Nothobranchius furzeri: one gene and its partners. The protein of the gene in region 7 purifies or fractionates together with the protein of the main gene of each other region. This does not show direct contact. Links are inferred from orthologs where the notes say so. Each region holds a gene or a part of one and is shown on either strand. Other genes may lie near its edges. The genes, in order: atf3, smarca2, stat3, sp1, atf2, smarcc1a and cebpb.

Region 1 (4,665 bases), on a different chromosome or scaffold from region 7:
CATCATTTATGCGGGATGATGCAACTTCTCAGCTGCACTTGTACAGCAGCAGCCACAGCTGATCACTCGTTTTAGAGACTTAGACTAAACGTTTCCTTCAGTGTGACCTTTTGTTTCCATCACAAACAAAACCACAGAAAGGTTGTTGGTGCTACGCCAGGTTTCACATGCAGATTAAAACTAGCCTTTTGTGCTATTTTACTTTTTTAATGAATTCTGTACTGGCTGCATTCCATTTTAAGAGAAAAAGTCAAACCATACAGTGTGACTGACAATACATGTTTTAATTATCAAAAGTATCAAAAACAAAGCTCAACAGGTGACAACAGGAAGTGCGCAGCAGCAGTGCAGTTGTTCCTGATATTTGACATTTTATTCATTTAGGCTGGGAGCAGCTACAAAAACAACTTTCAGTGACAAAATCAGGCACAATAAAGCACAAATGAGGTGTCTAACGAGCATCAGGATGCTAAACGACACACACACCACGACCAGACGCCTGCGTCTCTTTAACAAAGTGGCCTTTGGCTAAAATCACAAACTACAGACAACATAAACCATCCTCATCAGCAGAAACCTGCTAAACACAACAAATCCCATCCAAACCCCCAAAAGGACAAATGAGACGGCGCAGGATCACAGACTCAGCAGAGACATTTAATGTGATGTTTAATAAATATGCTTATTTAACTAATAATTGCGGTTTTGGTCTGAGAAGCTCAAAAAGGGAACAGAATTAAGTAGAAATAACACTTTAGCTTCTTTTCAACACAGATATAAAATGATGGATTAATAATACAATCAGTCCTGCAGGAGAACAGAACAGAAGTTCATCATCTGCATATACGATTATCCTGTCATGTTTACAGGCTGCAGCCATGGCTGCAGCACGGAATCATTCCCGTTATTACTAGAAACACTCCCGTTAGTTAAACATCTACGTCTGTGTCCTGAGGGGTTAGCAGCAGCAGCTTCAGAGGGTCGCTAACATCACATCCTACCTTAATAAATAGGTTTTCTACAGCAGGTTAAACTCAACCGGCCTGCAGCTACTCTTCTTTCCACAGAACGGTTTGTGTGCATCAGTCACCTTAAAATCACCCCGGGACAAAAATCAAACCACTAACTATTGAAAACATCAGTGAAGTTTGGGTTTTTGTTTGGTTTCAGTGCGTCGGCGTCTGTCCTCTGTCCAGGACGTCCCAGCAGCTGGGAGGTGAAGGACGGAGACGTGGCTTTGTACGCTGCTTCCAGCAGCTGATCCACGTCTCCTCGTTCTTGGCGCAGGTGGAGAAAGTCTCACAGCATCACCATCATAGACACTGGATGTCGTCAAGCGTCAGGACGCCTCCGTCCAGAGGTGCTACTGTGGCGGTAGATAACGAGGAGGAGGTGGAGGAGGAGGAGGTGAGGCTGTGGAGCTGTAAGGTGCTCTCCTGGATGTGCTGGATGAAAAGCTTCCTCTCGTCTTCGGGCGTTTGGCCGTTCTGGGCCCGGACGATGCAGGTGGGCCGGTGCAGGTTCAGCATGTAGACCAGCTGCTGCTTCTGCTGCTTCAGCTCCTCGATCTGAGCTTTAAGATCCGCGTTGACACTCTCCAGCTTCTCCGACTCCTGAGGAGGACAGGGACAATGGAGGAGTTAATGTTGTTCTTCATGAGCTGGGTTTCAGAGTGAAAGGGAACAAAAGTCTCTTACCTTCTGCAGACCTTCCGTCTTCTCTTTCTTCTTGTTGCGACACTTTGCTGCAGCAATCTTGTTTCTTTCTCTCCTCCTCTTCCTCCTCTCGTGTTCGTCATGAGTCAACTAAAAGCCAAAGAGACAGACGCCGTTACTTCTCCTGATCCCCGTCTGACAAACAGACCAGGTAACCTCAGAGTTCGCTCCGTCTCACCTCTCTCTTGAGCCTGGCGGAGGGCCGCTCGTAGGCCCGGTCCGAGCTGGAGCCGTCTGAGCTGACGTCGGCGCTCAGCCCGTTGGACAGACGCTTGGTCTGGATGGCCAGGCGCAGCTCCTCCTTCACGATGGGTGTGAAATTAGTGAAGTCGTCCAGGGTGAGCGTCCCCGGTGGGGACAGGCAGGGCACCAGAGCAGAGCAGCTGATGTCGGCCAGAGAAGGACCAGGATGCTGCAGCATCATTCTAATTAAAAATAAAAAACAATGACTAAATCAAATATGCAACAAGTTTCACATCAAATAATCCAAGAAGCTCCTAAAGCTGCTGAAGGAGCAGCTCCTGCTCTCTTTCGGCTGAGTAACTCCTCAGGAACAAACTCAACTAATGAGAAGATCAGCTGTTCCTGAACAGCTCTGCTGACAGCCAAACATCTAACCTAGAGGAGCCCTGAACTTAATAGAATAAAGCAGGAGTTACCGTTGACCCAAACACAGCAGAAGGATTTATGATCAGGTTTGAATCTCAGCAGGAGCAACATCGTGAAAGCTGCACGTGCAGCTCTATTTATTTATTAAGTTCGACTCTTTTGTGTTTTTCTCAACACTTAAATCTGAACCATTACATCAAGGAATTATTTCATCTTCATAAGAAAACGGCTCACGTTTACAGTTAATCTGCATTATAACATCTTAAAGTCATTTTATGCGTTTTGTTTACTATAAACTGTTTGAATCAACTTTAAAAGTTCAAACAAGTTCGGTCAAAGTTCAAATCTAATAAGTTGAATCAATAAAAACTTCCGTTTATTTCTTAAATAAATCAAATCCTGATGGTTTCATTCAGCCCACCGGGAAGCGCTCCGCTCCTCACCGGGACATCCCCGTTCCCCCGAAACACCCCCTCCCTCCGGAACCCCCCGCCTACCTGTTGGTTCTGGATCGGACGGTCCGGACGGGTTGAGGAAGTGAACGCCTGCAGGAGCCTCGCTCGTCGCCGCTGCTCTGAGTTGCGTTTGACCCGAATCGGTTGCATCACCGGCTTTTATGATCCGGGCTGGGGGCGGGGCCTGTGACGTGGCGGGAGGAGCCAAGAGGAGCAGCTCTGAGCTGGATGACGTAATTCTATTTATAAATGTGATTGTGTGATGATGCAACCAGGCAACCACGGGCTGATCTGCTACAACACAACCCCTCCTCCTCTTCCTCTCCTTCAGTTCATCTCTCCATCCTTCCTTTAGACCAAACACCCCCCCCCCCACCCCCCACCCCCCCCCACACACACACACTTCCTCTGAGTAAGTTCCTAGAAAGCAGCAGAAATCACAGATGATTAAAAGTTCTGAGCGCCGTGTCTTCCCGAGTGCTCTCACTGATCTGACACAGACACAGTTTCCCAATCCCAACATTCCACATTAGGACGTGAAGTGATTCGCTCTGGCTGAATGACACCGGATGGGTTTTATTTATTGAGGTTACACCTCCATCAGGGCCTGGAGAAGCTAATGGTGGGAGGAAGAAGGATCAGCTTATAGATAAGTTTTTTTGTGTGTCTCAGCTGTGTGTGTGTGTGTGTGTGTGTGTGTGTGTGTGTGTGTGTGTGTGTGTGTTTTTGTAGCTTAATTCTAACTAATCTGATCCTGTTTAGTCGCCCGTTGAGAGATTCCAAAGGTCAGAGGTCACCTGAAAACAGTGAAGTTCGAAATGATTCAGGGAATAATGGCCATGATGCTGTTTGTGCTTTTATTTTGAAACTTTAAATGTTTGATCCTGGTTGAAATGCTTTTTTCATTGAAACCTTTAATAAAACCATTAAGCAGCAGGCAAATAACATGGAAACCCATTGCCTTACAGGGAAAATTGCTCCGTTAGACCACAGGTTGCGTTGTTTTACCGGCAGGATTAAAGGGATTTAAGTCGGATCACTTCCTGAAAAACCTCACAGATCTGGTCTGATTGTACAAAATATGTTTATATTTGGAAAAAACTTCTAAATGTTTATCTCTGGATCTCTTAACCTTATTTACAGACCATTTATTTTGGTTATTTTAAGAGAACATTTCCTGTAAAAGATTTATAAGGATCTCAAAAATAACTACGAAAAATAAAATTAAACGGAATTAAAATCTGGGATATTTGGAGGCTTAATACTGCTAATTTTCAAAATAAAAGCTCCTGTGGACAACTGCATATAAACTAATATTTCTGGAATTTTTAAAAATATTTAATGGACCGGTACCGAGCCTCGGCCCAGTTGTAGAGGGCTGCTGCTCTAGGGACTGGACGTCAGTCATGTGATCAACATTGTTTTATTATTTTAGTAATTGTCTTGTGTTTATTATATTGTAATAACAATATAATAATAATAATATAACATTATATATTACAAATACATCAAAGTGAAACTTTTCTGTGACCCGTTTCATCACTTCTCGCCAGCTCCTCAATCGCCCCTCCCTCCCTTCCTGCTGAAACTTTCCCAGTAATAAAGAAACTTCCAGTTTCAGCTGCTGGTAAATAATTCAAAAAGAATAACTTTCACTTTCTGACAGCTTCTCTAGAAAAGATTTCTTTAGGGTGTTTGGAATTCTGCAACAGGAAACCCGACATGAAACCTGATCAGCATGGATCCTCCTCATCCAAACACCCTCCACAGGTTCCAAGGAATTCTGAGCTGGGACACAAAACAAGGCTTTCATGGTGCAAAAACACCCAGCTGTAAACACGATAAATGTGTGAATAATCAGACGAACAACGTTCCGGCTCCGAGGT
Region 2 (3,968 bases), on a different chromosome or scaffold from region 7:
CCTTTGACATTTGAATCGATCCGGTCCTAATTCCCGGTACCTACGAATCGATACCGGTACTTAACGGTACCAATTTTCGATACTTTTGAGTGTTTATTATTTTAATTCTCTTTTATAATTAAATATCTATTTTTCTCAATATATAACAATATTTGATAAATATCACGATAAATAACATACAACTGTTTGTATTTTAACATCGTCCTTGTAGTTTTATAAGCTGATAATTAAACTGAAGCAAACATCTTTACTGTGAACTAAATTTACTGTGTATCTTCATTCCTTTTGCCGTCTTTTTTTCATTTGATTTTTCCTACTGGGAAGCTAGAATTTCCGAGGAGAAAGCGAACGCACCATTAGCTGATAACAACGGTGGCAATGGAAGCTAACATATCAAGCTAACGTTATCTTAAACAGTTTATTTAGCTGCTGGAGCAGATTAAAACGACGATGCCTCACACTTAGATCGTTGTCACTGGTTTCATCTTCACCCAATCACCCGTCGCATTTAGTAAAGTGAAGCCAAATTTTAGAGCGCGTTCATGTTCTTCTAGTCAAGAATTCGGAGTTCCGAGGAGAAAGCGAACGCACCATTAGTGGAACGGAAGCTAACATATCAAGCTAACGTTATCTTAAACATTTTATTTACCTACCGGAGCAGATTAAGATGAGGATGTCTCACTTAGATCGTTGTCGCTGGTTTCATCATCACCCAGTTACCCATCACATTTAGTGAAGTGGACCCAAGCTTTAGCGTGCGTTCTTTCTACCATGCTGCTGTTTACAACTGGCTCGCAGCGACCGACGACATAACGCTCTTGCGCATGTGCAGCTGTCTAGGCAAGTTCTCGTTATGAAGGACGGGTACCGAAACGAGGCACCGTTTCAAATGACGTGAATCGGTGCTCGGTCGGTACTATGGAATTCGGTCGGTACCTTAAAAAGTACCGAATTCGGTACCCATCCCTACGTCTTCCTGAATCAGTCTTTTCTGAATTCACCTAAAATGTTCTGGTGTTGATTCATTTACAGAGCCCCCCCCGGAGACGGAGACCGCTCCAGCAGCACCTCCAGCTCCCGTTCTCGGGCTCTCCTGTGTTTAATTCTTAAACCTAAAACAGGAGACAGACTCCAGAACCCTCCTGTCAGTGCTTCTCCTCAGGAACGTCCACACGACGCTCACCTCGGCTGAGACGGATGACCGTTCAGACTTTAGTCGCTTTCAAAAACATCAGATTTGTGTCAAAATCAGTACCACATAACCAAGTGACACGGATCGCATTTGAAAAAATCGGATCTGTGCGTTCAGACTGTCACGAAAAAACCAGATGTGGGGAAAAAAAGCGGGTTTGATGAGCTTTTGTCTGCAGTGTGAACGTAGCCTAAGTGAGTGAGCTGGTGTTTCTGGGCAGGAGTGTAAACGTTAAACATTAAACATGCATCCTTCTGGGTTTAGGATACATGTCTCCACATCCTTCCCCGATGGGAATCCACGAGCACGCTTCTAGTCCCATGTCAGGAAGCGGAGGTGGACCCACACCACCCCACATGCCTCCCTCCCAGTCTGCACCTATGATGTCCTTGGATCCTCAGGCCGGCATGCCCAGCATGTCTGCTATGGGACAACAAGGACGAGGACCTTCTGCCTTCAGTCCCGTGCAGCTTCAGCAGCTCAGAGCTCAGATTCTCGCCTACAAGATTCTGGCCCGGGGACAACCGCTGCCAGATAACCTCCAGCTGGCTGTTCAAGGCAAAAGGAGCCTACCCACAATGCAACAGCAACAGCCGCAGCAGCAGCAGCAGCAGGCTCCTGGTGGCAGCCTGTACAGACCTCCAGGTAGTCAGCCCTCCTCACTTTACCACCTAAATCTGAAATCTAGCACTTTTTGATTTGCGCTAAATGACCATTTGGTGTAATTTTGGTCAGAAAACTATGATGGCGGCTCAGACTGGACCAAACAGACAGCCATTGTGTTGTTATGAAACTGCTGCGTAACTTTATTCAATTCAATTCAAAGCTTTATTTATAAAGCGCCGTCCCTGTCGGGGAGGCCAAGGCGCTGTACGCAGTACATAAGAACTGTAAGTCACAATGAATGAATGCATAATAAAAGGGGGTCAAATAGTGCAAAGAGGGTCAAACATTCAAGTAGAAACAGTAAAAACAGGGAAACGAAATCAACATAGAAGAGGGCCGACTAGGGCTGCTCGATTATGGCAAAAATAATAATCACGATTATTTAGGACGATTTTTCAATTTATGTTGATTTTATTTGTTTTTATTCAGTCATAAAATTTCTCAGGGCGCAATCAGGACAAAAATAAGAAACAAATGATCACTAAAATAACTCCTGAATATAAAAAGACCAATATACTTATAGCTCATAGTTTATGACCTAAGGGCTATAGACCTTGGTTTAACTCATTTAGGTCTAACCAGTACAGAACCAAATACCATTATCTTGCAAATACTGACAGCAAGAATTATACAGTGGCATTCATAACAAATAAACACAAATAAATTGATGTTCACAAAATGTTGCATAACATGTATTGAGTCATGTCAAGGTGCTGTAGGAGAGTGCACTAGCACCGTGTCCTCAGAGAGATTAGTTATTAATTATCAGCGTGAGGAACTTATTTCTACCTTATTTATAAACTATTTATTTACAAGTCATCCATCAGTTAATGTAATAATTGTCTCAACCACAGCTGCACCCCACAACCCAGTCTCTCAGCAATCGGGGCAAGCTGCACGTGCGTTTAGCGCACCACACGCTCACATTTAGCTGTTTTTAGTGGCTCAGGAGTCCGCAGGTGCGGTGTGTGTCACTCACTCTGGTTAATCTAACAAGGAGCCGACTCCGAGAGCTGTCTTTAGTGACTGACCCATCACTACATCATTCCCTTTCCTAATGTCCTGAAGAACGGTCCGGAGCGCAGGCGGAGTGTTTAGCTAACCTGCAGGAAATGTCGACGACAGTTATCCAGAAAGTAGCTAAGGGTTACCAGAGATGTTTCTGAGGTGTTCGCTAGGTACTTTTAAGTTAAAAAGTCAAGAAGGGGGTCTGAAAAGCTGCTAGAAATAGCGTCAAAGTCACTGTTGGCAACACTGTGGGAGGAGCGCTTCATTTGCAACTCAGGGCATCGCAAGCGGGAGGAGCAAATAATCGGCTTGTTTTGTTTTTTATAATCGTTCAAAACTCAGATCGTAATCGTGATTAAAATTCGATTAATTGAGCAGCCCTAGGGCCGACCTCAAACACGTTCAGGGAACGCCAAGCAGAAGAGCTGGGTTTTCAGGCCACCGCAGAGAGGGGGACAGCCTAACTGAGGGTGGCAGCTGGTTCCAGAGTGACGGGGCTAGGACTGAGAAAGCCCGGTTCCCACGAGTCCGACACCTAGAACGAGGGACAGCGAGCAGGCCGTGGTCAGAGGAGCGTGTGACGGGGAATGTCTGTTCAGGAGCGTGGCTAGATTGGGGGGGGGGGGGGGGGGGGGGGGCACCACCCTGGAAGAAACTGAAAACAAAGACGAGGTGTTTGAAGCGAGAACGATAGCAGACCGGAAGCCAGCACAGGGAGGCCAGAACCGGACTGATGCGGTCCCGTTTCCTGGTCCAGATTTCTAAGGCAAAGTGAGACGTGTTGTTTTCTAAAACACGTTTAATTACATGGATGTAAAAGAATGTTTACAGATCAGAGAAAAGCCGTTAAACCACCTCTGACTGCTTATTTCATTGACAGGCATGCCAATGGCACCTTTGGGTGGTCCTCAGTCCAGCCCCCTTCCAGCACCACCCATGCAAGGCCTCAGTCAGAGTAGCGGACCCAAACCGTGGAGCGACGGTAAGACCGCTGGGATTCCTTCACTGTTTATAGAAGCATCAAAGTTTTCAGGTGATTTTCATCTCTCGGGGCTCGGCGACGTGGCGCCGCAGGCTTTATAGGTCCAGGAGGAAAGCAACG
Region 3 (3,711 bases), on a different chromosome or scaffold from region 7:
TTGAGACACAAAAAACATTTTCATGGCATTTTATTTCACTGACATGGTTCACTTAAGTATGAAATGTAAAGAAAAATATTACAGACTATAAATATTACGGACTAAAGCTGGGAGTTGGTTCCACAGGAGAGGAGCCTGATAACTAAAAGATCTGCCTCCCATCCTAATTTTAGATATTCTGGGAACCACCAGTAAACCTGCAGTCTGAGAGCGAAGTGCTCGGTTAGGAACGTATGGAACAATCAGGTCACTGATGTATGATCGAGCTTGATTATTAAGAGCTTTATATGTGAGAAGGAGGATCTTAAAATCTATTCTGAATTTAACAGGCAGCCAATGTAGGGAAGCTAAGACAGGAGAGATATGATCTCTCTTTTTAATTCTCATCAGAACTCTAGCTGCAGCATTTTGGACAAGCTGAAGACTTTTAACTACATTCTGTGGACTTCCTGAGAGTAATGAATTACAGTAATCCAGTCTGGATGTAATAAATGCATGAACTAGTTTTTCAGCATCACTCCTGGAAAGGATGCTTCTAATCTTAGCAACATTCCGAAGGTGGAAAAAGGAAGTCCGACAAACCATAAATAATTTGATATTTGACATTTTTATATCTGATCATACGAGTTAAAAACAGGCAAAACAAACATCAAAAGGTCTGTTTCAAAAGCCAGTCTCACTCACATGACCTTGTTGCAATTTACAAGTGAAAAACCACACATTTACAGTAACAAAGGCGTAAAACAGGAAGAAAGAGAGCTGACGGGGGAAAAAAATGACCCAATTACCAGAAATACTTCTACTCCCATCTCCTTTTACTGGATGAAGTTTAAAAACCCATTCTGTGTAAACTAAAACCAGAAACATGTTTAAATTCAACCAACAGAGTTTTCCTACTGTGATGTTATTCATTTGGCAGGGACGTTCTGTAAAACAGAAATCAGCCTCTCTCAAGCAGCACATAGCTTATACAAAAAACACCATTTACTTTTTCAAAAAAATAATAATAATAATAATAAAATCACATAACCATTTATTGTCAATTACACACACAGTTTATTCTCAAAAAAATAAAACTTTATTGCATATATGATAAGAGTTGTTAAAAAGAAAAGGAAGAAAGATAGTTAGGGCACAAAGTGAGTCAAACTCTAGAGACAACTGCTGTTTGTTGTTTGGTAAATTTACACAGAAACAAAAGAAACTGTACAGAGAGACCGTGTGAAGACAGGAATAAACGAGCCGCTCAGATCCCAACAAGTGGACAGAAATGGTGGAAGTTTTGTCTTCACATTGGAGAGGCTACATCCATGTTCAAAGTGAGGGAATCTAGGATAAAAACAAGGAAATTATTATTGAGGCATATAGAGTTAAAATTCAAAAGCTGTTTACAGGACCATAGCGTTTGCAAAACGGGACTCGCCGCGGCTCCCTGGGGAGGATTTTGGCATGTATAGCAGCAAAGCTGAAGCTAGAATAAACTGCCATCAGGCACCTCTCCAGCCAAGACGGAAAGGGAGGTCGCTGCCTCCCTTTATTCCCCCCCCGTCTTTTGCGGCAGGGTGGTGGTGGTGGTTGGGGCGCTCCCTCAGTCGCTCCAAAGGGATTAACGGGGCTGACACGTGTTTAGCCATCAGAGACGAGGGGCTTGTGCGGCAATATTACTACGAGGCAAAGCGCATCAGAATCGAGCTTTATCACCTTTCCCCTTTGCTCCTTGCCGCATTCACGAGACCCACAAATTCGGATTTATCACTCTGTAACGACGCGATGGTCTGTCTTATAAAAGAGGCTATAGTAGGATGCACAAATGTATCGTCATCGTGATATCGGCATGTCGCAAAGAACTGGAAAGAACGCAATGAATGGTCAGCTCAAATGTTAGCTACACATGATGCGTTTTGTCAAACGGAAGCATGAAGATTTTGGCAAATCAAATAAAGCTCTTCACCCATTTGGCCAATCGGGTGTGTTCTTTAGGTTAGATGCCCGCCCCTAGGTGGACAGCATTTAATTAAAACACCTGAGTTAGCTTTGTTCTGCTCTTTCTGCCTTTCCCAGGAGTACCTTTTCTTGCTCTTTTTCCCTTTCCTCACATCTTTTGATCACAATTTTTGCTTTTTTTGAATGAAATTTTCTTACAATTTTTAATTTGTTTTTTATTTTTTGTTCTTAAATTAAATATTTATTTATTGAAAGCCGTATCGTCATCGCAGTATTAATGACTTATCACACATAATTCTAATATCGCACAGCCCTAATTCAAAGATGCTTTTTTTTTACTTTAGGTGAGGCTTTTAGTTGTGGTAAGACCAAAGACGGCTTCAGGAGTAAAAATAAGCTTGCGTGTTCCCAGTTAGTGACTCACCCAGATGTCCTTGGTTGGCTTCAGCTTCACTGGGCATCAGGGAGTCGAGCGAGTCCAGGGTGCGCGGTGACATGAGGAACAGGTCACTCGTGTTTCCAGAGTTCGTGCTGTGAATACACACAGAAAACAAACAAAAGGACAAAATGCATAACGCTGCAAAGCAAAGTGTTCACGACAAACACGTCCTGCCACGTTAGACCAGCACTTTCAGTTTAACTATGGTCATTCCAGTGTAACACAAGTGGTCTTGGTCCTGCTCCAACACACAGTTGGATGGTTTTGTGAGTAAATTAGTCATTCTTCATTTATAGGGAAGTGTTAACAAATGGAAGGTGGTTTCAGTCTGTTGTTACATGCAGATAAATTCAAGGTTTGTTAAAAATCTTACGGATAAATGGCGGCGGCACCGTGTTTAAGATGCTCTGTGACTACTGAACAGCACACTGAATGGATGTTAATGGGGGCTTCGCTCCAGCCAGAGCCACGGCAGAGTGCATCGACGGGTCATTTAGCAACCTTTTCTTCCAGCTTGCAAAACACAATTCCTTGATTTTGTTCTCTCTACTTCTGCATAGACTTTTCTCCAGTCGATGTTCATACAGACATATTGGACTGAAGGATTTTCAAAGCTAACTTTATTATCTAAAATCCTCAGTCGCCTCCCTTCAGAAGTCGTTTGTGCTGCTCAACAGATGCACGTGGCTCTAAGCGGAGGATGATGACAAAACATGTGGGCAGCAGGAGCATAAACAGAAACCTGATGGATGACTGGAATGTGCTTTTGAATTAGAAATGGGAGCAGTGGCTGTGAACTGGACACAGAAAACTAAGGTGATGTAGATGCAGTAAATGCACCGTGAGGTCTAAAAAAACATACAAGTGACAGAATGCACACACGGCCCTACATGGCACCAACCCCCCACCCCAAAGGGGCCTACCCAAGGAATCCGCTCCCAAGCGGCTCACTGTCTGGCAAGTCCATGAACACGGAGGGACACCTACGGAGACAGGTCAGGATCTCACTGAGAAAACCTCACAAGCACGCCATCAGACCCACAAATAACCACAGAAAACATGGCTGATGTCTTGTTTATAGAGTCTCCTGGTCTTAGCTGACTCCAGTCTCTACTTTATTCCTCTCCCCTTCTGCTCTGTGAACTCAAAATCTGAAGACTCTGAGCTCAACGTGATGGCTCTGCAAAGGACTGAGCCAATTTGCAATTTTAAAACTTTGCTGTAAAGAATTTTTCCAGAGCACACATTTTGACTTTTAAAAGTAGATAACAAAGGCCCTGTCCACACGTAGCCGGGGATCTGCCAAAACGTAGATATTTTTCTACGTT
Region 4 (4,486 bases), on a different chromosome or scaffold from region 7:
GTCTGAAGAGGTGCTCCACTTTGAATAACCTGAGGAGACTGAATGAGGATTTGTTGAGGCTGCTGCTCTGCTCTGTTGTCTGGCTGAATTGGGACACCAAGAGAGGAGGCTGGGTTTTGCTGGAACGTTCTGCTCCCTGATCCGTTACTCTTCTGTGTGGCAATTCCATAAGAAGAGGTTTGAGTGGTGATGGTGGATTCGCTGGTCATGTAACTGGTCCCACTATTAGAAGATGCTGGCTGTGGAGATTGCTGTACGTGCTGGTTCCCACCCGTTTCTCCACTACCATTTGCATCCCCTCCAGTAGAACCTGTACTGACAGGCACCAAAGTGATGTTTCCATTCAAGGATACTGGCATGTTTGCCAGAAACTGGGGCTGATTTTGTAAAACACCATTGCCTAAGATGTTCTGAATGGGGATGGCTCCCTGAAGGACACTGGGCATGGTTATGATGTTTCCAGCTGCACCAGCTCTATTGGATGCAGCAATAATCTGCTGGCCATTTGGAGAGGACACTATCTGAAACTGTTGTCCTTGTCCTGCTGCAGCAGGTTCCTGTTGAGCATGTGCAAAGTGCAGCGGTTGGCCATCTACTGTCTGAAATTGGGGTATTACTTGGTACTGTATATTGGGCATCACACCTGATATGGTGGTTAGAACCTGCTGACCTGGCACAGATGGGGCCTGAGCTACTACATACTGCTGTGGCTGCTGACCCTGAGTACTTGATGGTGACAGCACCTGTCTGCTTTTGCCATTGTCTCCTGTCATCACCCCTGAGGAATCAGTGGTGATTGTGTTAGAGCCGGAGGATGCCTGAACGCTTAGAGGAACGACCTGCCAGCCGTTGGCACTGGAGGTGAAGACACCCGGGTTTATTTCCAGCTGTTGGTCTGCGGTAGAATCGTTTTCTCCGGGGGTGTCGATTCGACTGCACGTGGCTGCCAGCAAGGCCAAAGGAGACGGCTGCTGTGAGTCCTATAATCAGTATAAATGAAGATCAAACAGGAAAATGTAAACAGACAATAATAACAGAGCATGCTATCTTACATCTATAGAGACAATTGAGTGCCAGAAATTCTGATGTGAACATTTGTTGCTGCACAAGTTTTTAGCAGACTTTCCTGAACAAAATGGATGAATTTCATATTTCAAACCAATTTTGACAGTTACTGTGATACTCTTTAGCTTTTTCTACAATGTTTGGCCTTTGCTGGGATGGCTCCAGCATACACATCAGCCTTGCTTTCTAAACATGTTCTGCCAAGATCTCGTCGCTCAGCCGATCCCAGTCTCTTAGTAGTCTCGAGGATTTAGACTGGGGGGTGACCATGCCTTCTCTTGTTTTTTTTTCTATAGACTTTTGAACTCTGGAGATTAAACATGTTCCCTCCTTGTAATGCTTCAAAGCTGGATGGTTTTTGTATCACTTTTCATTTTCCGTCTGTTAGTGGCTTATTTTTGTAACTGTATATTATTACCGTTTAGTGTGCTTTAAATTTTAGGTTTCCTTTGTACTGGTTTTATGTTTGTATTTGATTTACTTACTTTTCCATTCTCTACTTTTACCTTTTTATGTGCGTCATGCAATTTTGTGTTTTGCCTTGATTGGCAGCATGAAGGTGCTTTATAAATGAATGAATAAAACTACTCATGTAAAATCACATCCCCCAAAGCCCCATGAACTCTTTTGTCCACGCATATTCAAACTGGAGAACAATAAAAGCAACCCTAATTATTATAAACAAGATGTTTACAGCAACACAAATAAAGTGGAACATAAATTATATCTTAAACCGTGCAAGGGGATCACATGTTCTAGCATATTGTATATTGGACCTGTTAAAAAATAGGAAGAAAGGCATGATGTTTCAAGTTAAAACAAATTAGGTTCCTTATTCTAAAAGAAATCTAGCTTGTTTAGTGAAAACCATAATATCACTGCGTTTAAGTCTAGCGAGTTTCATTGAAGCGCTTGTAGGGGAGTGGGCTTCACAGAGAAAACGCATTGGGTGAGGGGACATGGGAGGGAGGGACCACATTTTCCGGAGCAGCGGCGGGCTCGGCTTCCCCTCCCCCCAAGCCCACCCATCTCCCTCCCACACTTGATTTTCGCCCTATAAACTAGCACACTTCACTAGCCACCCCCTCCAAGGAGAGCCAAATGGGCCGAGCGAAACATACAAGAAGTGCCCGGGTTAGATGGGAACACCCCGTGTGGGCGAAATTTACCTGCCCAGTTCCCACCCCGATGACATGTGCTCTGGTGAGAAAATCAACAACCCGCTCAGGTCCAGACACACACGCACAGACGAACACAACAAATTCAACAAGTGGCACACACGATGAGAACGAAATGTCGCTAAGTGGTTAACTTACTTGTGAGTTTGTGTTTCGCTTCTGGCTGAATCCTCCGCCGCTCTCCACAGCGGCCATTTCACCCTGCTGCTGCTGATCTGCGGAAGAACACTTGTAAGACTTCTTGGAACATAATAGATCAGTTATACACGAAAACAAAAATCAAACAAAGAAAAACGACTACATGTTTCACAACAAGTCAACTTAAGAATGCTTTGTGGAAGATTCGGGTTGGAAAACATTTCAAGCCCTCACAAGGCCAGTTAGCTTGTGAGCTAACGTGAACTCAGCACAAGTAATAAACAATAAACTAGTTAAGCATTAATTAAGTGCACCAACGCAGTTTCCACCGTTCTGATAAAACATTACCGCTATTTTTTGTTTGAGGAATACCATAACCTACAATTCTAAAGAGGGGACAGCGTCGTTTTCTAAAGAACCACTAACAAGTAGCGTTAAGTAACAATAAACTAACGTCACTTTAAAACTGCTTCAGACTAGACAACAATGCAGCGCAAAATCCACCACTTAATACAAATAACACGATGTTGCTACGTCATACCCTTGAGTTATAAGTACGCACGTAGTATGCCTCCAAGTTTTAAAAGTCCACTTACTGCTCATAATTAGAAGACGGGAGGAGTTTCTGCTCTTTTTTCAGCTTGACAACTTTTCACAACTTCACACAAACTTAAGTTCCCCCTCCCTTTGAAGTAGGCGTATGAGTGCGTTCGATTTATGTAAACTAGATTCGAGATGGTGCAATGAACTTCTCAAACCTATTTCAAGTTAGACTACTTTTTAACTAGAGATTATAAAAATATAATTTGTGAAACTTAAGTGAGCCAGTAGATGACATTTTGAAAGAATGCTGGGTTTTCTTGGCGCTTAAATCAAAGTAAAACCGACTCCTGAACTTATCATAGACATGTACAAGTTACAAGGCAGAAATGAAACGGTAGAGTGAGTACCGCCACACATGCTGTAAATAATTCAATTCAAACCGATTTAAACTCGGAATATTTAAGATTTTTTTTTTCTTTTTCGTTTGGTAGTACGCGTACCGTACTGTGCCGAAAAAAAAACAAGCGCTCCTCAATCAGCAATACGGGTGATGGAATAATCCATTGTCCAATAGAATTGTTTGTCTCGCCTAAAGAGCACCAGTTGACTAATCTAATTTCACCATAGTTGGAGGGGTGGGCGGGATTAAGCACGGTAGGTTGTGCTCTTGAGCATGATTGACGTCGGGTTATTTGTTTTCCGCTAAAACGACGTCACTATAGTTTAGTCCACGTAAATACTGATAATTCGCTTAGCCCCGTCTTGAAGTGGAGTCAAATTTCAACAGTGAAACAACGCCAAACGTTGTTAATGTCTCTGGCCACAGAGGTGGGAAGTAAGGAGGGCTGAACGAGTGCTTGAGTCTTGCCTCCGTGGCCGTTGGCCACTCCCTTGTGGCTTTGTGAGTCGGTAAACAGTAATGTGGCGGGAGGAGTCAGAAAGGGTGGAGAAGAACCCTCATAACACTCACCACACTGGCTACTATGCTGGGCTGGGAGTGGAAGATGGTTGGACTGGGAGGGCTTTTATCTCTGCTAGGGGCTGTCATTGAAATAGCACATGTGTCCATGTATAAACATGTCAGAGGGTGGAGTCCATACATCCATACCACCCTGGCCTGTCTGTTTACACACACACACACACACACACACACACACACACACAATTGAATTTGATTGATTTAGTCAGGTTCAATATTGTGTTCAAATTGCTATGTTTAATCCTGTTATGTAGAACAATTAAGTGCCTTCTGGTTTCTATGCTTATCACAGGATTTATCTATGTTATCACTTCACAAGTACTCTAAAGAAATGCTGTTGGGTAAAAAGTTAGCACAAAAAATGTGCTAAAATCAGGAAATATCAAATAAACAGGATATAACCGGGGCAGTGCTAGTGGAAGGTGTCCAAGGTGTGCCAGTGCCACCCTGACAGCAATCATGGACCTCGTGCCGCAGAGCCTTAACATTAAGTTCTGCTTATTTGAACAAAAGCATGTCAAAGCATTTATCTGGTATAGTAGATGCTTATACAAATATTTTCTTGTTGTTATACCAAAATAAT
Region 5 (4,657 bases), on a different chromosome or scaffold from region 7:
TCTTGCTGGGCCAAACTTCAGTGTCATCTCGTGTTTGTGTTTGTGGACTGCCAAGTGATCTTCATTTGTGAATCTCTGCACAAACAATAATAATGATCAAAGGTTTCGCAGCTAAACAATTTACACCTGAAGGCAACAAGTTGTTTCTAAAGAAATGCTAAAAAGTTTTAACACTTAATGCTACTGCTTTGAAAGTGGTTTCAGTGGTTTTTAAGGCAGAAACTTTAGGAACTTCACATTATACAGAACTCTGCAGCCCTCAGCTGACCAGGAAAAGCACTTAAAAGTTTAGTGGCATGAGTAGGTTCACTAGGTGGAGCTCTCTACTTGCTTTACGGCAGTTAGCGTTTACTCCGTCACTGTAGCTCATATAAAGGCTAGCAATTAGATTTTTCAATTTGCCGACCATTAGGGTTCAGCGATGGGATGAATTATTCGACCATCGGCGACGGGCTGAGCTGTTATGGTTGTTTTTATAAGAAGCAATTTGTTCATTTATTTGTTTGACCAAGCGTAAGTTTGTTAATGACAGATATTTTACACGTTACGCACAGAGAACATCGCGGAGATAAAAAAAAGAAAAGATCTCCATCAACAAAACATCTGAGCATTATCTTTCACCTTCTCCGCCTCTCGCTGCTGACAGTGTCCGCAAGCGGCACGCTGAAGAGGAGCTGGGAGAGCGTCTGTGACGCACTCGACATTGTGCGCAAGAGCGCACTGTCAAGTGGAAGCCCTTCTATCTTTCATAGTCAGGTAGACTTCTGGTTATTTTATTTGGAGAAATGTTTCCTCATTTTAAAACTGTGGCTTAAGTAGTGCTCGTTATTCAGCACCCGCTTCAAGTGTGTCAGCATAGTGAGGATTAATCCAGAACAACATTTAAACAGCCACGAGTCTGAGGCAAACGTCCAGAACCTCATAACCTCTTCAGCAAGCATCATGCAGATATTGGATTACGCACAAGCTGCAGGTGACCAGTTCAGGTTTACGTGGAGCAGAAGGAATGTGCGTTTGGGGCTGCAGCAAGTGAAATGTTCCTAATTTAAGTGAAATTATTTATTTGTATTATATGTTACTGGGGCACTCAGATCAGCTTGTTTGGATTACATTTTAATTAAGAATGAATGGAAATTGAATGATTATTATTTAAAAAATGAAATTTGTCTGCATACACTCCATTCTGCAATCACACATGGGTAAAAATAAAAGGTTATAGGTGATGATGTTACACATGACTATTACCAGAGTTATTTTACTATATATTCTATTCACACTATTGTTTGGGTTATGAGGGTATGTTTTCCATGTAAACAAACTGATGTTCACATTTCACTTTAACATTTCTTTAGTAAAAGAAATAGCTTCTGGAGATACACACAACCACACACACCTGCTCTCAAAATTCACCCTCTGATGAACGACAAAAAGCTATAAGTTTAATATAAACCTAACAACATGGCTGCATGTTCAAATGATCATACATATACTGCTGTGATGGCTATTTCAGTGCCCACGATCATTTTAACAATTTTGTCAGATTTTGAGGATATAAGAATGGAAGTTTTTTTTTTTTGACAAGTGTTTTGGTAAAGCTTTTATGCATTGAGTCATGAATCAATTAGATAAAACTCTTACATCAAACTTAAGTCATATTTTGCGAAATAACCTTGAACAATGATGCTTCAAAGAGTCTTTTATCAGTTTAATTTCAAAGAAGTTCTCAAAATCGGATTGCTTACCTGTCCACACCCAGGAGCAGTGCATTGGAAGGGTTTGTCATCACTCATATTAAGGAGTTCCTGTAACTTCTCCCTAAAATAATACAAAAAACACTTTTAACCTGAACATCTGCATTATATATATATATATATATTTTTTTTTAATGAACTGATGATCTATGAAGATGCAGAGCAACTCTTCCTATAATAAATATTTCTACTCCGATTCAGAGATGATAATATGTAAACACATGCTGGTTTAGTTATGATAAAAGTTAAAACTCCAGCTGGGGTCAGGTGAACGTTTTGGACAAAGACCATCGATAAGGGGCGGTTTCTGTAGTTGTTTACACCTCGGTGCTCTTATAAAAAACGTTTAGATACACTGCTCCAGACAAAGCACGGAGATATGTTTTAAGAGAACCGCATGTCTATTTTTACATATATCACAAAACAACTAAAGAATATATTTACAGCTAAAAGGATGAGCTACAATCCAGTCGCTTCCATGAATTAGCCTGAGCCTTGCGTTAACATAACCGTCGCCATATTTGAACACGCACGTAACGCTGTAAACAAAAGAGCTGTCAACTACTATTTCGGCTCCTGTTTTGTTACACCAAACAGAAACAGCTCACATTGCCACAAATTAGGTATATTTACCAAAGATTCGTACACAGTCGCTAGCGGTTTGAGTTGACACCTACCCCTTAGCCACAACCCTTGATTTCCAAAATCCCACGTTTTTTTCCCCAAGTATCGCGATAACAGATATTCGTTAAATGCCACATCCACAAACGATTGGGGATAATTCATTGGAGTCAAAAAAAGTATGAGAAAATAAATTACGGACCAATGTTATAAACTATTCTAACATAACGTAACTCAATTGTTTTTAGAGGAAAACAAAAACTAATATAGTCTTAAAGCGCTTAGCACACATAATTTGCATATTCAAGCAGACTGCCTTCTTCACACAAATGTAAACTTTAAAAAAATCAAATGCTAGGAGTGATGTATAAGCTCTTACAATTTAGATGTATTTAATGTTACAGAAACGCTTCAATTTGTTTGTAGCAATGATTGCTAGGCAATCCACCCACTTGAGATCCCTTGTGATTCTGTACCAGGCAGTCATCAACTTACCAGCTGCAGACAGATCTGTTTGAAGAATAAAGGCAGACATTCTTTAAAGTGATTCTTTTGAAGTCAGTGTTTAAATTGCACCTGTCTAAAGGTCAATTTAAAATATTCATGTGCCACTCATCTTTAACCCAACATAATTCTATTCTGTCAAAAAAATGAAAGGAAGCCTTTAAGTTTTGCATACAATGATAAAATTTAAAAGATCTGACAGCCAAAGCTTTCATTTAAAGTATTGGCCAATTACTTAATTCTTCCTGTGGGGAAAAAAAACAAACATTTAACACAAGTAAATCATTTGGATTTATTCAGTGCCATTACCATGCCGTTAGATCTCACTTGCTGCACAATTACACACCTATTTAACTGCAGCTTAATGACAAAATAATTCACGTGGACCCCAAAAAGCTCAGAAAACAAGGCTGATTCACTGAAAAGATGACATTCATGAAAGTCAACCCCTTCCTGTTGTGTTGGGTGATGTTTTGGACACAAGCTTCTGCAATCTTGAATAGTCAAAAACATGTATTTTATTCACGTAAGATGTTACATTTGTACAATACATGTTTTGCTGTTTTTGACAGTGTCTGAGAGACTTGAAAAATGTACATTTCTATGACACCAACAAGGAACAATTTTGGTAGCCACAATAAAATATGTAGTCACATCTGTAATTAAAGTGTTGTGGGGCAGTTTTACATAGCAAACAGGATAAGGAAAGCAACCATCAAACAGAAGAGTCCCATAGCTTCAGACAGGGCAAATCCCAGGATGGCATAGGAGAAGAGCTGCTGCTTCAGTGATGGGTTCCTGAGAACAAGAAATTGTTGGTGAATCCAAACAGAAATTGTAAAATTGTTTTAACAATAAATATTTGAAATAATTCAAACAAACCTGGCATAACCAATGATGAGACTACCGAACACAGTCCCAATTCCAGCACCGGACCCAGCGACTCCAACCGTGGCAGCTCCAGCACCAATGAACTTGGCAGCAGTGTCAATGTCCCTGCTGATGGCGCTGGTCTGGAAGCCTCTCAGTGTGACCTGAGTGAGGGGACTTGGTGGCATCACAGAAACAGAGCTCTGCAGCAAAAAAAAAAAAAAAAAAAAAAAAAAAAAGAAGAATAAAAACTTTAACATCACAAGAACCAAATGTGACAATTAGAAACTAAATCTTTGAATACATAAGAGCTAGTCCTCAGACAAAGTTATTACAAGTTACTAAGGCTTTCTAGTTAAAACCCTGTCCATTAGGGCTTCAGACACAGTGCCGATAAAATATAAACTTCAATTGCAATGCTGTGGTTTCAAAAAAAATAATGAGGGTGTGGAAAACATGCTTTCATACCTCTGTTTTAGCTTCAGGCCTGGACAGCACAGAAGCTGACAGGGGTCTGTAAAGAGCCCGGGAACCAGCACGGACCTGCATTAACAATGGACACAAGATTAAACACTTAGCATTGCTTGGATCAAGCTTCACATAGAAGGGTGTGTATTTTAAGTGCCACTCAAGAACACTTTAAGCACACACCGACATAGAAAACTGTGTAAATTAGTCAGAAATTGCACAATATTGATAGATGGGCCGCATGCTGATTGCAGGGTCTCATACTCTTATGTCTGCCACTGGTTAACATGACCTTGGAAGCAGTCAACACTGGACAGCAGATTTTGAACATTTTGAACAATGTCCAAACGGAGAAAGTGAGTTTGTGCATCCCATTATGTCAATAAGAAGTAAGCTGTGTGAGCTATCGGCTAACACTGCGTTTCAATGACCTTAGCTAATAA
Region 6 (4,424 bases), on a different chromosome or scaffold from region 7:
CATAACAGACACAGGATCAGTAAGGTGGTTAATCTGGGTGATTTCAAAACAAAAAACTTGGCAAAAATGTCTCTGACATTAGATTTAGTGTTTTTTAAATTACTAATAAAAATAGAAACTGAATAACTTTAGAGAAATACTCCTGCAGAGTAAAAACATATCCACAATAAAGAAAAGCATGTCCGAGTCTCTCTGTGATCCTTTCTGATTACCTGTCAGGGGAAAAGCCCCAGTGAACAAGCACCTGCTTGTCTTTCCTCATCACAGGACGTAGCCACTCTTCTGAAAAACACAACCCCCAGCACAACTTCAGCAATTAGCGAAGATTTTATCCGTGCTGTGACAAAAAATTCCCATTTTCAAGAAGATCAGCTAAATAAAGCCTCCATAAACGGAGCTAAATGATCTTTATTCTGATCTAGATGTGTTTGATGGGATAGAGATCACACTATAAATGAGTCAGATCAGCAAGGAACAATAACACCCAAGTTCAAACATACATCATAAAATGTATGCACAAAGTCACAAAAGTTATAAACCAACCTTCTTCCTGCTGCTGAAGAGAAGGATAAATGTGGTGGGTGGCCTTTGACTTATCCTCGGTGGTGGAGCCCTGAAGAGAAACAAAGTTAGATAATTGAAAAGACAAAGACGTTCATGCTAGTCATAATAAAAATACATAAAAAAATAAACTGTTTTTATTTCCTGGTTTGAAGTGAACTCACCTGGTGCCTTTTGACGATGTCTTTGAGCTTACTCGCTTGTTTTTGCTCTATTTCCGAAGACAGGTAGACCAGAGGTCGCGTCAAGCAGTTATTCTACAAAAACACAAACCATCGATAAAACCAGACGTTACCCATGCAGAGGTCAAATATATAGAAGACAAAAAGTCTGTGTTCAGACTGGGATGCTCATACCTGAACCAGGTTCTTCTCAACATTTAAGAACATCTCCACATTTCTGTCCATCCTTGAGGGATTCTGCAAATCAAATCTTCGCCTAAGAGTAGAGTTCATAAAGCAAAACCAAATTAGTTTTAAGACGAACACACAACTGACTAAAAGTTGAATATCCTTTTGATTTCATGCAGTATGAATTTTGTCACATTTTACAAGATGTTCAGTTCGTGGTACTGGTGTAACCAAAGAGTTAAATTCTGCTAAACCACTGGTTCAAAACAATCAAAGAGGTTAAGTTTGGGTCATACCAGTTTTGAAGTTAAAAATAAATCCACTCACCAGCCCTGTTCACTTTTAAACTTATAAACCGAGCCCAAGATGTGACAGAGAGCCCCTCCAGCCTTAAAGTCCAGGAAACACTTGGCCTGAAGAGAGAAGATAAACAAAGAGATTCAAGACACAGACATTATGATAGCTTTTGGTTCTGCAAAGAAGGTGTGCTTACAGGTAGCTTGGTAAGAGCTGGATTGTTGACCCTCCGTCCAAATGCATCCTCTTGGAACTGCAGCAGCTGCACCACCAAGCCTCCCAGTGATTTGCTGGAGGGGGAGTCATTCTGAACATACTGAAAAAAAAACCATAATCATTGAATCATTTACATGCATCACTGACAAAGAAACAGGAAAGCATCTGAAAATGAACACATATATATTACAAGCAGCTACAAAACTTTGGTGACACACAGAAGTCTGCACAGTAACAAATACATGCATGGTCATGGGAATAGGTCTAATTTCGCAATATCTGATATTTTAAACACTATTAACCACAACCTTGCTGCTCATTTAACAAATAAATCTTCAGCTGGGCGACTTGTTGTTGTTTTAACTTTACTAAGTCCTATAAATAATGTGTTCTGGTGTGACATGAAAATATTTACATGCAATCACAGAAATCCTTATTAATCTAAGTACCTACGTTTTTTAAGTCAAAGACACGGTAAGAAAAACATGATTCCAACACAAAAACTGCAAACAAGCAAACTTAAAACAGAATCTAGACTCCATCAAGTTTGCTGTTCAGTTGAACTTTTGCGTTGTTTTTAAATGCGCCTCCATGGGCGTGATGGTGGGTTTGAATAGATACACTCTTTGTTTTGCTGGGCGAGAGAAGCCAGAGGCTGTCTGCCTGATGAGTGTGTTGACAAAACAACACAATGAGGACTCTTTTACACAAAATGCAACAAACACAATTATCTTGTGACTTTCTGAGACCTAAATATAACGTAAAACAGAATGAATGGTGTGTTATGTTTATGTGAATCGTACACACACGGTGCACCGTGACATTTTCGTTAGTTTCTTAGGCCTTTACACCGAATGAGTGGGTCGTATATATTTTTAGCACACAACATAATTTCACATGTGCGTTTTTACTACAATAACGTATCAACAGTTCGACATTCAGTACCTTATTAGAACTAATTTGTTGTGTTTAGCTGACTGAGCGGCTAGCGAGCTAGCTGATGGCAGGCTAACAGAAAAGCAACTTCACTCCAGCTATCATAGTACGTTTGCATTTAATCGTGTCTAAAAGGAGACTGTCTGCACTCTCTTGAGCGAGATTATAAACATGAGTCAACCAGAACAACTACAGCTAAAGTTAGCTTAGTGTACATGAAGGTTATAAACATATCAGCGCTCTATTGTGCCAGCGAGACGCGGGCCTTTATAGAAATCAATGAGGAACACAGCAGCGTTAACCCACCTTCTTGTAGTGCTTCCCGATCCAAAGCCGCACCGTCTCGAGCTGGGACACCGTCTCGGAACTTTCCCAAAATTTCGTGGAAGGACCGCCGTCTTTCTTTCGTCCTACCGCGGTTCCTCCACCGACCAGGCCTGTGGCTGGTCCGCTTGAACCCGTTCCGCCCGCAGAAGTCGCCGCCGTCGCCATTGTGTGTAGCTCACTGCGTTGTCTTTCTCCTCAACGGCATCCCTCGCCGTGCAAGTTTTCAAATGATACTGCGCAGCCGCAAAGTGATCACGAGGTTTATGTGACGCTCATGGGAAATGTAGGCGTACCCCCCCCCCCCCCAGATTCACGTGGCAGGGTTATAGGAATTAACACAAAAAGTAAGGAGCTGATTAGACAAATCTGCCATGTCTGCAGGCTTCTTATCTACTTTTAAACACTATATTCCTTTTATTTTTACTTAATAGAGTATTTACTTAATGACATTAATGGAGCTCTACAGACAAAAGAACATTTTATGGTATTATTGTGAAACTTCAGTTATGTCGTCAACATGTTGCCACCAGATGGCAGCAATACACTTCTCAGTATGTTTCCTTCTGTTGGGCTTTATGTGCACATCATGTTTTGCTTGAATATTTGGTTGGGTGTTATTTTGAATGACTGGGTAAAGAAACAGAATCCCATCACAATCTTCTATTTTACTCTTCATTTTAATAACTAAAATAGGACATTCAGTAGCATGGATAAAAGGTAAGATAATCTTGCTAAAGTGACATGGGTATGTTCAAGCCAAGCCTAATTAAGAAATGTATTTTATACAAATCTATTTTTTATATTACAGAAGGAAACCATGACGTAATAAGTTTGTTCTCTGAGGTTCAATGGCCATAAACAACATGTGGTGCATCATCGCCACCTATAGGTCTGGAGTGTGGACCGGCACTCCTCTCCTGTCTCCCCCGAAGTCAGTAATAAACTGATTGGAATCCCAGTGGCACCTGCTGGTGCTCCACCCCCTCTGATTGATGGAGGAGCAGATAAAGGTGTGTGTGGCATGGTCCATAATAGTTGTTAGAGCTCTGATTGTTGCATGGTCCATAATAGTTGTTAGAGCTCTGATTGTTCTTCTGCTGTCGAGAGTGTGGTAAGAGATCACTTATTTGGTCATGGCTTCCGAAAGTTTTTCTGTATTTCCTGTCAGTGTTATTTCTCACTCCCACGTTTCCCTTATATAAAAGATTGCTTCCTCCTCTTTTTGTAGTTCATTTATTTTCTCACTAAAGTGCTAAGCACGTTTATAGGTCATAATTCTAGCAATTTGCTTTGAACTCTCTTTAACCTTGCAAACTTATTTTTTTACCTTGTATGTTTTAACCAGCATCATGGGATCCACTGTAATGTTGCAGTTGCTGCTGCTCTGCTTTCCATTGTGCTCTGCTTATGCATATGGTAAGGCTGATTTCAATATTTCATTGCTAGTGACACTTTGACAGTAATGCGCTTTAGATGGGATGTCGTTAAATATCTAAAGAGGTTTGCACAAGATGACTTGTTTTAGTTCCTTCATATCCTATAGAGCAGAGGTTTCCAAATTGGGATATGGGGTCCCTACAATTTTGTCTTTGCTGAGCTTGTGAGATTAGCAAGAATTATAAAAATTACATTTATAAACTCCAAATAACACACCCTACAGTAAAATCAAAACTCCATATATAATTTATAACTCTATGCTGGTAAAAGATGGTAAGTGATTACATTTAATGTGTGTAC
Region 7 (3,394 bases):
CCAGGTCTCGGCTGTTCCAGTGTGAGCAGGTTAGTTGTTCATTAATTTCCAGACGACCTTGAACCCCTTTCTGGGCCGGTGGACCCAGCAGACTATTGACAGAACTGTGTGCTAAAGATAAAGCTACCATTTCTGTGCTGCGTGCAGAGTGACCAAGACCTTTCTGCTGCTCTCAGCAGTATCGTTTCAGTATAAATCTGTCACATTTATTTAAGGATCTGTGTACTTTTGGAGTCAAGCCCTCAATTACAACAACCAAACATGATATTAAGCATATAGTGCAACTATAAAAACTGATTTTGATTAATCATTTTGAAACAAAGTCTTTGCCTATTTTATTTTATGATTAAGTGTGTGAGTTGATCAGGCAACTTTAATGCACAATCTCAATAAAAAATTTTTTTAATGAGTGATGTTTTGTGTGGGCCCATGTGACTATTTTCTAAATTAGCTGTTCCAAAGAGAAAAATCTCATGGTGCTTTGTTTGATTTCACCATAGCCTGACATTTAAATGTGCACATTCTGCTTATCATCGAGGTGATTTCTTATCTGCAGTGTGTCGTAACCCCAAAACATGGTATTACACAGTCTATGATGACGGTGAACGATGCACGATCCATGGTGAAAGGGACAAAAAAAGAAGAAAAGGGAAGTGAAATAGTTTAAACAAAGTATAAATCTCTTTAATTCAATAAAATATCAAGAACAATTAAAGCATTTCACCTTTTAATATTAAATAATTAGACTATTTCATTCATTGCCAATACTATTACAAAGAGTTGCATCATTTCACTGCAGCACAACTCTTCCCCTGACAGCCATTGCTGCAGATACAGTGTACACAAAATGTAGAAATTCACTGGTAATGTAAAACCTGCACAGAAATACTGCATACACTAAAATTACATCTGAGAATAAAGCTATGAGGACAAGTGAAAAGTCGCGTAATGGTTGCGCAATCCATGCAGCCACTTGTTCAGTCTCATTCAAAGTGTCCATGTAAACTGGCGGTCTGTTTACAGAGTACCGTTTTCAGCACAGTGGGTCGCCTCTTGCGCCGTTAAGTCTGTCAGGCAAGCAGCGCGGGGATCCGGGGGGAGATCCGTGCGGTATCCCCGGGGGATGGAGGTGGGGAGTTCTAACATTGTCCGGTGGCGGAGAGCAGGTTGCGCAGGGTGGCCAGCTCTCTGGACAGCTGCTCCACGCGTTTCTGTAGACGATCGTTCTCCGCAGCCAGTTCCAGCACTTTGTGTTGCGTCTCCAAGTTGCGCATCTTGGCTTTGTCCCTGCTCTTCCTCACTGCCAGGTTGTTCCTCTCCCTCCTCAGCCGGTACTCTTCACTGTCCTTGTCCAGGCGCTTCTTCGCCTTCCCGCCAGACGACTTTCCACCGTGCGACGGTGACCTGCTTTTACCTGACGGGGCAGGTGTGCCAGGCGGGCTGGAGCAGGTCGAGGACGCAGTGGAGATGTTTCCAATACTTCCGCTGGTGGATTGGTAATGAAGGTAGGACCTCATGTCAAACCCAGATGACCCGTTCTCCATCTTTGCGTCTTCCGGACTGTCTTCTCTCTCGGTGGAAGCGGCGGCTCGGTAACGGCTGGCCACCAGATCCGGGCTGAGAACGCTGTCCACACGGGTCTCCTGCAGCTCGGGGTAACCCAGCGCGTACGGATCCCTGGGCTCCCTCGCACCCTCGCACTGGCTCGCCTCCAGCTCGCTCAGCAGCGAGTAATTCTTATAGTTCTGGAAAGCTGCGAGTCTTTTGATCTTGTTCTCCCCGAGGAAATCAGAGAAGGCGTCCCCCTGCTGCTGCGTGTGCGCCGCCAGCTGCGGGCAGTGCAAAGCGGAGTCCAGGTAAACGCTGAAGTCTATGGCTCTCTCCCGCTCCCCCAGACCCAGCTCCGTCATCGAGTCGCCCAGCCTCCAGTAAGAGCCTCCGCCTATGGGTCCGATGAAGCCGTCTCTACCGTGGATAGCAAAGCTGCCCTCCTCGTACAAGCCGGCCACTTCCATGGATCTCAACACCCGCTGGAGTGCAGGAGCACGTCGGGCTGAGGTGGGACGCCCTGGCTGGTTCTGGTTTTCCTGCCTCAGTTGTGAAATGCGTCGGAATGCAGAGAGTTTAAACCTCCTCGGTCACTACCCGTAGAAACACGCAGCTCCTACTACGCGGGAGCTCTTGGATTGGGAGGAATTGACAGATCTTCCTGTCTCAGGAGGGGTTTTATTAGGGGTGGGGGCGGGGCTTAACTTGGCAGGTGTGTCACGCAGAGCAGAACCGACCTGTACCGTGCGGAGAAGATTCTTTCCCGTCCGCATGCTATTTAAAGTATTTTGTCACGATGAAACAAACAAACAAACAAACAAAACAAAACAACAACAATAAAACACCGAACAACAAAATAAAACTTGCTTTAGTTTTTATGTACGTGCGCACCAGATGAAGGCTATAATAAAATTCTAGCAGCAGAACAAAAAGGAGAAAAGCAGCTTTGGCTGATGAATGGGAGCTGATATCAGAAGTCAAATAAAAAGTAAAAAATAAAATTCCAGTTTACACCGTCATGCAAGCGCGCCCCCTGCTGCACGCGTCTGGAAAAAAACCCAACGTGTTTATCTTTTTAAAGTTTATAGTAACAACATCACTGATGTTCAAAGCAGCCACAGACTCATTTCATTTAGAAATCTGGTGCCCCACAACTTCCAGCATATATACGTGCCAATTAAAGTGCAGTGGACCTCCTCATGATGCATGTCTAAATCTGTACAAAGGCCAGGGTGGGCGTCAGAGGAAGCCAGTCTGTCTGGTTTAAGGCGAAAGACTTATATGTGCCCTAGAAGATGTCTGTGATTGCTTTGTGGGTCTTGAAAAATCTGCTGCCTCGACAAAAAATGAGATCTGACACAAGCTCTCCTCAAGTCCTTAATTCTGGCTGCAGTAGAAGCTAGAATCTGATAAACTTGATAAAACTCAACGAAAGACTTTTGTTTACAAAATCACCAATGCAACAATTACTAAGTATTAACATTTTAAATATGTGTAAAAATCCAGATATGTAAATCTATATATAAGTTCACTGCTCAACAATAATAAAAGGAACACTTAAACAACACGATGTAACTCCAGTGACAGTGACTGAGAAGCAGTTTCACTGCTGTTGTGCAAACAGAAAAGACAACAGGTGGAATTTATAGGCAAACAAAAAACGAATGGTTCTGCAGGTGGTGACCACAGACTACTTCTCAGTTCCTCTGCTTTCTGGATGATGGATGATGTTTTGGTCACTTTTGAATGCTTTCACTCTAGTAGTAGCATGAGATGGAGTCTGCAACCCACACAAGTGTCTCAGGTAGTGCAGCTCATCCAGGATGGTACAACAATGCGAGCTGTG

Evidence for each region.
Region 1: the proteins of cebpb (region 7) and atf3 purify together in Homo sapiens (affinity purification with western blotting; 3 studies listed by BioGRID and IntAct, with this or other methods). This does not show direct contact. The link is inferred for Nothobranchius furzeri from reciprocal best matches to the Homo sapiens genes CEBPB and ATF3.
Region 2: the proteins of cebpb (region 7) and smarca2 purify together in Homo sapiens (affinity purification with western blotting; 5 studies listed by BioGRID and IntAct, with this or other methods). This does not show direct contact. The link is inferred for Nothobranchius furzeri from reciprocal best matches to the Homo sapiens genes CEBPB and SMARCA2.
Region 3: the proteins of cebpb (region 7) and stat3 purify together in Homo sapiens (affinity purification with western blotting; 3 studies listed by BioGRID, with this or other methods). This does not show direct contact. The link is inferred for Nothobranchius furzeri from reciprocal best matches to the Homo sapiens genes CEBPB and STAT3.
Region 4: the proteins of cebpb (region 7) and sp1 purify together in Homo sapiens (affinity purification with western blotting; 4 studies listed by BioGRID, with this or other methods). This does not show direct contact. The link is inferred for Nothobranchius furzeri from reciprocal best matches to the Homo sapiens genes CEBPB and SP1.
Region 5: the proteins of cebpb (region 7) and atf2 purify together in Homo sapiens (affinity purification with western blotting; 3 studies listed by BioGRID and IntAct, with this or other methods). This does not show direct contact. The link is inferred for Nothobranchius furzeri from reciprocal best matches to the Homo sapiens genes CEBPB and ATF2.
Region 6: the proteins of cebpb (region 7) and smarcc1a purify together in Homo sapiens (affinity purification with western blotting; 3 studies listed by BioGRID, with this or other methods). This does not show direct contact. The link is inferred for Nothobranchius furzeri from reciprocal best matches to the Homo sapiens genes CEBPB and SMARCC1.

Annotation. Positions count from the first base shown.
Region 1 is NC_091742.1:15,053,283-15,057,947, forward strand, and holds atf3 (cyclic AMP-dependent transcription factor ATF-3), read right to left. Parts: upstream 2,926-4,665; 5' UTR 2,822-2,925; intron 2,141-2,821; 5' UTR 2,140-2,140; coding exon 1,894-2,139; intron 1,806-1,893; coding exon 1,698-1,805; intron 1,614-1,697; coding exon 1,314-1,613; 3' UTR 637-1,313; downstream 1-636.
Region 2 is NC_091750.1:37,837,719-37,841,686, forward strand, and holds part of smarca2 (probable global transcription activator SNF2L2), read left to right. Parts: intron 1-1,456; coding exon 1,457-1,837; intron 1,838-3,746; coding exon 3,747-3,848; intron 3,849-3,968. UniProt on the Homo sapiens protein: ATPase involved in transcriptional activation and repression of select genes by chromatin remodeling (alteration of DNA-nucleosome topology).
Region 3 is NC_091745.1:6,824,959-6,828,669, forward strand, and holds the end of stat3 (signal transducer and activator of transcription 3), read right to left. Parts: intron 3,367-3,711; coding exon 3,307-3,366; intron 2,476-3,306; coding exon 2,369-2,475; intron 1,330-2,368; coding exon 1,289-1,329; 3' UTR 589-1,288; downstream 1-588. UniProt on the Homo sapiens protein: Signal transducer and transcription activator that mediates cellular responses to interleukins, KITLG/SCF, LEP and other growth factors. Once activated, recruits coactivators, such as NCOA1 or MED1, to the promoter region of the target gene.
Region 4 is NC_091743.1:62,035,411-62,039,896, reverse strand, and holds the start of sp1 (transcription factor Sp1), read right to left. Parts: upstream 3,068-4,486; 5' UTR 2,985-3,067; coding exon 2,978-2,984; exon of another isoform or gene 2,923-2,977; intron 2,459-2,922; coding exon 2,382-2,458; intron 981-2,381; coding exon 1-980. UniProt on the Homo sapiens protein: Transcription factor that can activate or repress transcription in response to physiological and pathological stimuli.
Region 5 is NC_091754.1:21,239,525-21,244,181, forward strand, and holds the start of atf2 (cyclic AMP-dependent transcription factor ATF-2), read right to left. Parts: upstream 3,158-4,657; 5' UTR 2,538-3,157; coding exon 2,398-2,537; exon of another isoform or gene 2,385-2,397; intron 2,364-2,384; exon of another isoform or gene 2,196-2,363; intron 1,816-2,195; coding exon 1,743-1,815; intron 76-1,742; coding exon 1-75. Other genes in the region: atp5mc3a (ATP synthase membrane subunit c locus 3a), read right to left, coding at 3,560-3,674, 3,759-3,949, 4,215-4,289. UniProt on the Homo sapiens protein: Transcriptional activator which regulates the transcription of various genes, including those involved in anti-apoptosis, cell growth, and DNA damage response.
Region 6 is NC_091745.1:65,006,156-65,010,579, reverse strand, and holds the start of smarcc1a (SWI/SNF complex subunit SMARCC1), read right to left. Parts: upstream 2,923-4,424; 5' UTR 2,853-2,922; coding exon 2,667-2,852; intron 1,525-2,666; coding exon 1,405-1,524; intron 1,325-1,404; coding exon 1,239-1,324; intron 1,000-1,238; coding exon 918-999; intron 819-917; coding exon 726-818; intron 614-725; coding exon 544-613; intron 283-543; coding exon 213-282; intron 1-212. Other genes in the region: uncharacterized protein si:ch211-215k15.4, read left to right, coding at 3,680-3,798, 4,033-4,103. UniProt on the Homo sapiens protein: Involved in transcriptional activation and repression of select genes by chromatin remodeling (alteration of DNA-nucleosome topology).
Region 7 is NC_091755.1:52,069,223-52,072,616, forward strand, and holds cebpb (CCAAT/enhancer-binding protein beta), read right to left. Parts: upstream 2,180-3,394; 5' UTR 2,016-2,179; coding exon 1,140-2,015; 3' UTR 908-1,139; downstream 1-907. UniProt on the Homo sapiens protein: Important transcription factor regulating the expression of genes involved in immune and inflammatory responses. Also plays a significant role in adipogenesis, as well as in the gluconeogenic pathway, liver regeneration, and hematopoiesis.